Linked DNA regions of Tribolium castaneum. The protein of the gene in region 2 binds, or shares a complex with, the protein of the main gene of each other region. Links are inferred from orthologs where the notes say so. Each region holds a gene or a part of one and is shown on either strand. Other genes may lie near its edges.

What was found.
Region 1: B9 domain-containing protein 1 (region 2) and Mks1 share a complex: the UniProt entries of both Homo sapiens proteins name them as parts of the tectonic-like complex. The link is inferred for Tribolium castaneum from reciprocal best matches to the Homo sapiens genes B9D1 and MKS1.
Region 3: B9 domain-containing protein 1 (region 2) and transmembrane protein 17 share a complex: the UniProt entries of both Homo sapiens proteins name them as parts of the tectonic-like complex. The link is inferred for Tribolium castaneum from reciprocal best matches to the Homo sapiens genes B9D1 and TMEM17.

Annotation. Positions count from the first base shown.
Region 1 is NC_087401.1:10,812,869-10,817,251, forward strand, and holds Mks1 (tectonic-like complex member MKS1), read left to right. Parts: upstream 1-1,590; 5' UTR 1,591-1,653; coding exon 1,654-1,730; intron 1,731-1,774; coding exon 1,775-2,152; intron 2,153-2,200; coding exon 2,201-2,426; intron 2,427-2,474; coding exon 2,475-3,008; intron 3,009-3,603; coding exon 3,604-3,840; 3' UTR 3,841-3,883; downstream 3,884-4,383. Other genes in the region: rhomboid-related protein 2, read right to left, coding at 261-789, 837-1,309, 1,355-1,423. UniProt on the Homo sapiens protein: Component of the tectonic-like complex, a complex localized at the transition zone of primary cilia and acting as a barrier that prevents diffusion of transmembrane proteins between the cilia and plasma membranes.
Region 2 is NC_087399.1:9,020,769-9,023,471, reverse strand, and holds B9 domain-containing protein 1, read left to right. Parts: upstream 1-1,335; 5' UTR 1,336-1,491; coding exon 1,492-1,729; intron 1,730-1,775; coding exon 1,776-1,985; intron 1,986-2,035; coding exon 2,036-2,136; 3' UTR 2,137-2,178; downstream 2,179-2,703. UniProt on the Homo sapiens protein: Component of the tectonic-like complex, a complex localized at the transition zone of primary cilia and acting as a barrier that prevents diffusion of transmembrane proteins between the cilia and plasma membranes.
Region 3 is NC_087395.1:14,181,769-14,184,659, reverse strand, and holds transmembrane protein 17, read right to left. Parts: upstream 1,407-2,891; 5' UTR 1,355-1,406; coding exon 1,273-1,354; intron 1,229-1,272; coding exon 1,125-1,228; intron 1,075-1,124; coding exon 961-1,074; intron 850-960; coding exon 577-849; 3' UTR 570-576; downstream 1-569. Other genes in the region: glycolipid transfer protein, read left to right, coding at 1-83, 128-278, 329-511; ankyrin repeat domain-containing protein 27, read left to right, coding at 1,777-1,799, 1,984-2,178, 2,232-2,397, 2,445-2,574, 2,634-2,784, 2,833-2,891. UniProt on the Homo sapiens protein: Transmembrane component of the tectonic-like complex, a complex localized at the transition zone of primary cilia and acting as a barrier that prevents diffusion of transmembrane proteins between the cilia and plasma membranes.

The DNA.
Region 1 (4,383 bases), on a different chromosome or scaffold from region 2:
ACAAAAAAATGTTTGAGGGGGCTGACCTTAATACTAGGGGCTTGAAACACGGTTGCGAGTCCGTCCAGATGAGTTGGGGGCTCGCGCAATGCTCAAATAAAACACTTTCTGATTATGCGCCGACATAACCCCACTTTTACAAAATCAAAAATAATACTAAAATCAACCTCTAGTCATACAATACTGCAAAAACTGGTCACTTTGTACCTAATCTGTGCTTAAAAATAATAATTGTTACACTTTTGTGTCATTTCCTAACCTCAAATCCGTTCCCGACTTTTCAAAAAATACTCAGGCCAGGCAAAATTCCAAATGATTGCGATTGCCATCAGGAGACAATACGTGACGATAGAGAGCCACCAAATGACCCGTTCGACCGTTGTCACTTCTAGGTTTCTTAGGACGTTGAGCCCCACCAAGAGCCCGGCAATAGCCCCCGCAAAGTGGGCCATGTACCCGATATGTTCGTCCATTTCGAGGAAATACCGATTGTAAATGGCGGTCCCAATGTCGGAGGCCATAATGATCAAAAAAATAAATAACTGGACGATGGGGAACGACATTTCCCTCCAATTCATTATAATGGTGGCTATATGTGCCGTGATGAGGGAGTAGACCCCACCGCTGGCCCCCGCAAGTCTCACGGTGGGGTCGGCGATTGAGGTAGCAAGCGACCCGGCGAGGACCCCCGCGAAATAAATGAGGAGCACTCGCCACCACCGGTGCACCATTTCTAGCGGAGTCCCCAGTAGAATTTGCACCAAAAGATTGACAAACAAATGGAAGGCTCTGCAATTAATTGGGTGGCTAACGTCGGTCAATTGTTGATTAATTACCCAACGTGCACAAACATGTAAGTGATGAACCGCCAAGCCTCCTGTCTCTTGTAGGGGTCGTAGATGAAGACGGAACTGATGGGGCCCGAGGCCGATTTGGTCGAATCCGCCTCGATTGCCTCATCCACACAGAAAAAAATGACCTCGATTAGCGAAATAATGATCATGCCCACGGCCGGGGGGTAGCAGGAGTACTGGTCGTCGTAGGCCCCGTCCACCTCGCTGGCGCCCCGTCGGCGGGGCACCACCATCTGGATGTACCTGTTGACATAGTGCCCGAAAACGTACTGGAGGTCCGGGTGGTTTATCATGTCCACGAATTCGGTGAAATCGATTCGGTCGTCGTGGTTCTGATCGGCCATTTGGTGGATTTTCCGCACGACGTGCTCGGGGATGTCGTGGTCATATTCCCGGCTCTCGATCAGGTCATTCAGCTCCCCGATGTTGATAAAACCGTCATGGTCCCGGTCGTACTGAAAGCGCAGTTTGGGTGATTGCTACTAAACTGGGGGGCTCACTTTGTCGAAAATGCTGCGGTAGTAGGCGTTTTTGCGGCTGGCTTGGAGCGGCGTCTCCGAGTTGGCCATGGCCACATAACCTCAATTGGCGCACACACACAATCACTGTTTACGTTACTAACACTCGTGTTACTACATGTTATCACTTATTATTATTATCACTTTTGTTTTGTTAATTATCATTACACGGTTATGTTTTGGTAACTTTGGGCCCAACTGGGGGAATTCCGCGCCTGGCAGGTTTGAAAAATGGCGCGCGGCTAACGTCATTGTTGTGATTCACGTGTAAAACACTTAAAATGAGTCAGGAGGAGACTTTGGTCAAATACACGGCAATTTACAGGTGCTCGGATGACATCACCAACTTGAAAATAAGGTAAGTAAAGACACTACGTACACAATTAAAGTTCAAGGTTCAAGAGTGAAGTTGCGCCAAGTGGGGGATTTAACTGGCGAGGATTCGGACGGTTGGGAGCAGAAAGACTTCGCCTGGCAACAGAAATGCTTCAGCAAGTCAGAAAGGGAGTACTACAAGGACGAAAAAAACTGTATCACAGATCTGGAGAAAAAGTACCATTCGGACGTCGGGGAATCACACACTGAGGCGCATTTTGACCTGTTTTCGTACACCAATGACGACGATTTTGCCCTCAAACAGGAAGTTAATGACAATTTCCGCGAAAATTGCGACGAAAATGGCCAGGGGTACGACTACGGCCAGTCACTTGTGGCAGCAGTGCGAAATCCCATTGGTCATAATTACGAGTTTGAGGTCATGTACATCATGGCGGACCTCGGGTAATTCCCCCGAAACGTCCGAGTGACTATAAAGCGATTTGTTCGTAGCGAATACATCGATTCGACTTGGCTCAAGCAGGAACAAGTCCTGTGTGTCGTTAAATACGACCGGAAGTACAAAATATTATCAATTAACCCCGACTTTACCAAATCCCAGCCGTATTTAATCCGACTTGAAGGCGCCACAATTCGCAAATATCACTATTTCCTTGAGAACGTTTCGGCCCAAATGCCTGAGGAAGCCCACCGTCGCGAAAAAGAATTAATCCGAAAAGTGTGTGTTGTATTATCCCCGAATTTATCTTATTTAAAGAATTTGCAGATAAATGGCCACAAAACCGAGCTTTTGAAATGTTTGAGTTTCAAACTTCCCGCCAAAAACAAACTGGCCGTTCATTTGTTCATGGAACTCGCGTGGGCGCAATATTTCGAGTATGGACCAATCTACGTCCAGTATTTCATCGACTTGCCGTCGGATTGGTCCCCGACTGACCAATCGCAACTGCAGGGCGTGACGCAAACGTGTCACGTGACTGGCGATGAGGGTTTGGCCCATTTCGGGCACGTTTTCGACGTTACGTTAGAGTACAATATCGAGGATTTGGGCAAAAGGGGAATCCCCAAGTGCCCTTATATCTACTTTGAGGTTATTTCGAAGGACACTTGGAGTCGGTATAGGACTGAAGGGCTGACTTATAAGGCCTTGCCCGTTGCCAAGCCGGGGAATTACCGGTTTAACCTACAATGTTTCCGGTTAATCCCCGACCGGATTTCCGGTCAGTTACGCCGGTTTTTTATTGGCGATTGTTCAAGCTATGGTGACTTGACTTGGGTGGGATTACCGAAACATTACGATGTGAGTTGACTAAATGAAAGGTTACTAAGGCTTAAAGCGGGCTTAAGCCGACACCGAGTGTTGCTCATTTAGGTTAGGTTTAACTAAACCTCGGCTTATTGCTAATATTTTTAATAAATTATTATTGTAGATAACATTATAATTTTGTTGAAATTGGTCAATTTTGTTCAATAGTATAAACTAACACTAGAAAGCAAAAAGTTACTTGCTTGCATTGGATGAAAAAAAAAACAGCAAAAAAAGTATAATGATAATAATTCACTTATTCTTATTCCATCAATATATTTTATCAGTATTTTTTTTATTGTAGGACAAATTTTTAAACATGAAATAAATAAATGCCGCATTTTATTGATACATTTTTAAACATAAGATTTTTATTATAACGATATTATTGCTACAATGTACCGAAATATTGATAAATGGTGACATTAATGAATCTTAACCTAACTTTTTAAAATCAGAACTGTCATAAGTGCGCAAGCGTGCAGTACTACCAACCGCAAAGTTAAGTTCAGCGCGGCTTAGCTGAGCAACACTGCAGTTTAAGCTCAGCTTAAAATGGCGAGCTTATCTAAGGAAATTTTTTTTCCAGGGGTCTGTTTTAAATAAATATGGGACTAACACGGTTGGTACCGGTCTGATCAGCGTGACCGTTCACGTCGTCCATCAAAGCCAGGCGTTTCTGGACAAATACAGAGAAAATTCCGAGGAAAATTTGGAAATTTTCGAAAAATTGAACTCGTCAAGTTTGGTCAAAAGCGTGGAGCAAGTGCTCCAAGCGTTCAAAAGGGCCCGAAAAAACATGATTGCGGCCCGGAAATTTTTATAATTGTTGTTTTATTTTGAGAATCAATAAACGTGGCAACGCCGCACTAGGTATAAACCAAAATCGATATATCTGGGCGAGGGACGATCGGACCGGTTCGGGTCACATCGGGCGACTTCGGGCTGTCTTTATCCATGTTTTAGCCCCAAGTTTGGGCTTTGGCCCCATGGTGTGCCTGGAACTGGCTTCCAGTTCACCCCTCTGTCTTTTGGGATGCTCTGGGGGGCTCAAGTGCCGCTCGAGTCTTAGCGAGGTCCCCGTGGCACGGCCGCCCTGTTGCCACGCGTCCCCCGTTCATGAACCTGTCTCAAATTGTAACACAGTCGCCTATTTTGCAAGTCATTGACACGTCGCTCCTTCGGGGGTGCCATCGATAAAATCCATTCCTGTAATTTCTCTCGTCACGTGACTAATAATTTCAATTTTTAAACAATTCGTCTATTTGTGACCGGATCGATAAGGCGGCCATGGCAACTCTTTTTTCTTTTTGGTAGTTTTTGCAATTGTGTTGGTACTTCCCCAAGTCGGGATTGGGGCCAGGCGTAC
Region 2 (2,703 bases):
CTGACTTTTACGACACAGGGTGTTCCAAACTGAAAAACAAACCACTCTTCATGGTTAAAAAACACATTTACTTAAAATAATTTTTGAAAAAACGTGACAAAATAAAATATTTTAATGATAGAAGTCACAGCTAGAGGGCGTGTTGAGTTGTTGTCAGTGGTTGTGGTTTTTGAGGCGGGTGCGTCGATTGTGGCTGCAGTGACATTTTCCCGCACATGATACCAACCAAATGGGAACAAAACTTATTCTGAAAGCACACTAAATTTGCTCATGCGTTCCGTGTCAGGATAGTCGGTTTAGTGATACTGCCATTTCGGTGGTGCTAAGTACAATGTCACAATAAGTCAGTTTAATGTTAGAACAAATTTACGTAATTAAAAATATTTTACATATTAATGTGAAACTTATGTAATGGTAAAATAGCTGTCTAAATTTAGATTTTTCTAGGGATAATAATTTTTACCAAAACAGCTTCGATTGTACACAGTTTTTATAATCAAACAGCTGTTTTTACAAGCCGGACGTGAGGTGATGGGTGGCTTTGAGGCACTCGTCGCTTCGTTCGTGTTTCAATTTTTTGTACATTATTATTATATTCATCGTATTGATAAAGGAATAACTGCCAAAGATTCATGATTTGATGCTTGGAATAAGACTGGAAGTTCGAATGCATGTCTCATTTAATATTTCATGTAACTTTACGATAAATGTCAATGTATCTTTATCAAAAAACTTATTTTTAAGTTACGGTTTTTCACGTACATCGACACAGGCCTTGCCTTCTTTCGACTTCTCTTCTAAGTTACGCTTCATTATTTTGTACATTACCGCATCCACATGTAAAAATTGTACCGCATTATTTATTTTTACTGTCTAGAATTATTTTACGTTATGAACTGTATCTATAGTGAAGTTATGTAAGTAAATATCCATTTTCAGAACTTGTGTTTTATTTTACATTAAAAATCCCACCAGATGGCGCTTAAAACTTACTTATTACATTCAAATACCTCCCTGCGTCCCTGATACTTTTGATAATTTTGACTATTTTTGGTAAAATTTGGAAAGTATTAGGAGTGGTATTAGGATCACAGGAACACGAAGAGGTGTCCGGCTTTAAGAGGTATAAAATTTTGCTAAAATTTGGAGTTGTCAGGTGTTTCAAACATTCCGAGTTAAAAATTCTGGCAAATTTTGAAATTTCTCTTGGTACCAGGATCACAGAAACGCAAAAAGTAATTCAAATTTTATACTACAAAAATTCCACCTGATGGCGCTCCAAACCTTACAGGTTTCTGTAATTTTGTGGTTCGAAATTTCTAAAGACCTCTTTGCGTTCCTGTTATCCTGGTCCTAGTAATATTTTCAAAATTTAGCATTTATTTACTGCTTCGAGTTAGAAAACATTTGCCAAAACCCAATTTTCCATTTTCTTTGATGATATAGATGACATAAGTTACCATAGCAACCACAATACAAACAGCCCCCACGATGTCCGACGGCACCTTTCTGGTGTCTTTAACGGGCCAGATTGAGTCTGTCGACATTTTAGCCCCCTCGGGCTCCGCGTGGCACTGCAAGTACGAGTTTGTGACAGGCCCGGACTGGAAAATAATCGGGGGGCTCGAGGCCGGCGTGTCCCAAACCTCCAACGTTGTCGTGAACGGAGCTTTAGTAGTGTTCAACCTTCCGATTGAGATTAATTTCAAATCGACGAATCTTTACGGATGTGAGTTCGAAATTTTGCATTTTGAGGCGTTCAATTGTGGTTGCAGGGCCCCAAATTGTGGTTAGTGTGTACCGGGGGGTGCAGCTGGAGGGGTACGGGCGGGCGCACATGCCGCTGAGGCCGGGGATGCACCGGGTGGACGTGGCTTTGGGGAAGCCCCAAGCCAGCTCGTTGTTGGGGTACATGGGGGCGTTTTTCGGGTACCAGCCCGAGTTGTTGCAACCGAAAATGTTGGCAACTACTGCCGGAAATCACTGTATGTTTGTCACAACACGCAAAGATTTCTAGTTCTAGTTTTGGTTTCAGTAATTCAGATGTTGAGTCATGGAGAAGTGAGGATTTCGGTGAATGTCGTAATGCAAGGTGTGAGGAGTCTTGGATATGATTTCGGGAGAGGAAAAGACTAATTTTTGTAACGATTTGGGTCAATAAATATTTTTTTACGCACAGCTTACTTGATTAATGAAGGAATGGTTTATAATTTAATTTAATATAAATATTCGGTTTCAATTGGTTTTCTGTCATCAAGCGATCAAATTAATTTATAATCGAGTTATCCATGAACTTGAATTCCTATGTCATGCGATTGTAATGCTTACATAAGGTGACCAACTATAGAACACCAAAAATATAATTATGTTTTTCAAAAAGTTGGCCGAGATACTAAGTTTATTTTTTATATTAATAAACAGCAAAACAAAAGAAAAAAAATTACAATTCAAATAAACTAAAACGACATTAAGTCAACAAAAGAATGCTTCAATATTTTTTTTATTAACATTATTATTGTATCCAACGTCGCATGTATATTTTTCTATTCTTTATCTACCTTTCTCTTTCACTTGTCTTTTTTAACCTTTATTTCCTTCTTCCTTTTGTTTTTTTACTGATTTAATCAATTTTCTACCTCCTGTCTTGTATAGTCTGCTATTTTTTAATTATATCAGTTTTCTGTACCTCTTTTTCAGTTTAGC
Region 3 (2,891 bases), on a different chromosome or scaffold from region 2:
TACGAGTTTCTAGAGGACATGATACTTAAACAAAAAAATGTGGGCCAACTGCTTGTTGTGGACGCTTTGCAGTGGCTGCGGCGGTAAAAAGCCCCTTTTTGGGAGACTTATGCATAAATCGTTTCAGAGCCCTTCATTTCATTTCGCGCTTCTTCCAGTCTGTGATCGATGACTCCGACAATAATAATAACACGCAGGATTTGTCCATATTTGTGAAAAACGCGTACAAGGAGACTCTGGAGCGGTACCACGGCTGGTTGGGGTCTCAGTTGTTTAATGTACTTTCGTCATTTTTTCAAAAATTGTGGCTTATCCCAACAAGTTGTAGATTTTGTCACGGTTTACCCCAAACCGGCAACAGCTTTTCTACCAACTCGCGCTCGAGAAGCACCACAAGGAGGACCACGTTTTGCGTGATATGAGACAGTTCACGCTCAGGATGTCCTCATGTGTTCAGAAGCTGGTGGATTTCTACCAAGAGCATGATCTCGAGACGAATGATAGGGTCTAGTTGTTGTACTTAGAAATTTTATATTTGTTGATCTTCCAGTTGTAAATAAAACGTTTGGTATAGATTCATTTTTTATTCACTCGGTAGCGTTCTTGTACATCTGCAAGCGTCACATCTGATCTTAATTTCATAATGCGAAAGTAAATTGCTTGTTGCGCTGCCGTAAATTTCAAAGCACAATAGCTTGACACCAACTGAATGCATAACATCACGAACATGATACTTTGCACTATTATTTCTATAACATGCAATTTGAAGTTAGGATTGAATAACAGAAGACCTTGTAGAGGAAACTGGAGCAGTAAGGACAACATCCAAAAGCCCGCCAGTTCAGGAATCTACAATCTTATTTATTTAAATCGTCCGCAAAGTGGCCGTGATATTCAACAAACTGTGCACATGTGTAATATTGGTTGCATCTGCCGACTCAATTATTATCATTAACTTACTTTATCCTCAAGATTTCCCTTGTACCCTAAATAGAGTCTTAACATTTCCAAAAGGAAAACTGTCGAAATGACCGTTATGATAATAAACTTGTACAGTTCGCTAAAGCAGAGATACTGGAATTGGTATTTCGAGTCATTTAGTAGTTTTTCGTAGTTAGTCTTACTGTATTCCTTAAATAAAGCACAAGAATGGCCATCCAAAATGGCGCGAAAATCACGTTGAAATAGAGCGACATCTGCAGCGGCAAATTTGACATAACTTCGTTACCTAAAAAGCCTTAAGGAATCGTAATTAACCAGGCATGTTTTTACCATAAACAACATTATCGATTTTACGCGAAAGGCCTGGAAACACTTTATCAGACACTGACGTCACAGTTTCCTTCCAATCCATAATGAATATTTTGAGCAAACAACAAGGTCAAGATTATTTTTAATGTTCTGATTGTTAACAGATTGTTGGACATTTATGTCCTGAAATTGATAATCTGGTTTTGTTTGTATTAACTTGGGGTTGAGTTGCTTGGAAACCGTAATCAAATCCCCCACATTTGCTGGTATTGACCACTGCAGGTGTTTATTTTTGCATTTTTTTTAACTTTATTCTTTCTGTCCGATTGATGTTATTCTCATAAGTTTTAAGCTAACAAAAAAATGATCACAGATATGTATCGGAGGAAAATCTTCAAACAATAACAAGTGGTTATCCGAAAAGTTATCAGATAAAATGTTATTACGTAAGCAACGAAGGTCGTTCATTATTGTTGAGTACACATACCTAAAACAATGTGATACAAGCTACCAGAAATAATAAATATGGAAATACGAGACTTAAAACAGTGAGTATTTTTAATTTTAGCACCACTTACCTTTCGTATTTATTACCTTTAATCTTTTTTGAATTGTTTCATTTATTAGCTACTAGTTTACAATTTAAACAAAGTTTTATATTATCACAAATAAAAAATAGCATGGTCATTGTTGAGTCACTGGACTGAAAACTTATTGCTAAAATAATTTTAGAGCTGAAGAACTGCTTGTGAAATCAACACACGAAAACATTTTTGACTACATTGATGAAGAAATAGTTTCGTGGGATTTACCCAACCATGGGGATTATCCAGATCTGGTACCAAAAATAACTGACTTGGTTTACAAATTATACACAGAAATATTCCCGGAACAAAACAATCCCAGGAACTTTGCGGCCTTCCAGTGGTAATAATTTATAGGCAATTTGTTGTACTTGTTCTTTCATTGGTGATTTCAAGGATTATTTTTGATAAAATCCACGATTTGGTCGTGCCATGCATTAAAGCGAATTTGTTCCGAGAAGATGAAAATTTCTTCGAACGGTGCTCATTTTTGTGCAAAATTAACGTCTCGGCAAGGGAATTTGGCGCTGATGATAATTATAGTATCCCGTTATGTGCTGCCGTAATTGAAAATATTTTTTTAACTGATGCGTGTAATGTTTTTTTTAGGTTGTGGAATTGTCGGTTATAGACAAATATAAAAGTCCCAACGAGAAAATGAACTGTTTGTGCAGTACGTACGATTTAGTATTTGCGGAAATAAAGACAGCGATGGTTTCAGTAATTTCAGAAAGGTCAGGTAAGTTGCATCTTGATTTATTGTATGTACTAGGTTTTTTTAATTGTTAATAATTACAGATAAGGAAATTGAAATTCCCATTATTGACAACAAGGACATAATGCCTGTGCTTATGGTGGTAATTCTTAGGTCGAAATTACGCTACATGTTGAGCAATTTATTTTATATTAAAACTTTTTATTTAAAGATAGAAGAAAATCGAGAAATTTTGTAAGTGTTAGGCGTCTTTTTTATGAACTAAATTGACTGATATTTTAGTGATATATTTAAATCGTTTGAAACTGCTGTTGATAGATTAATGCAGTTGGATGTTGATA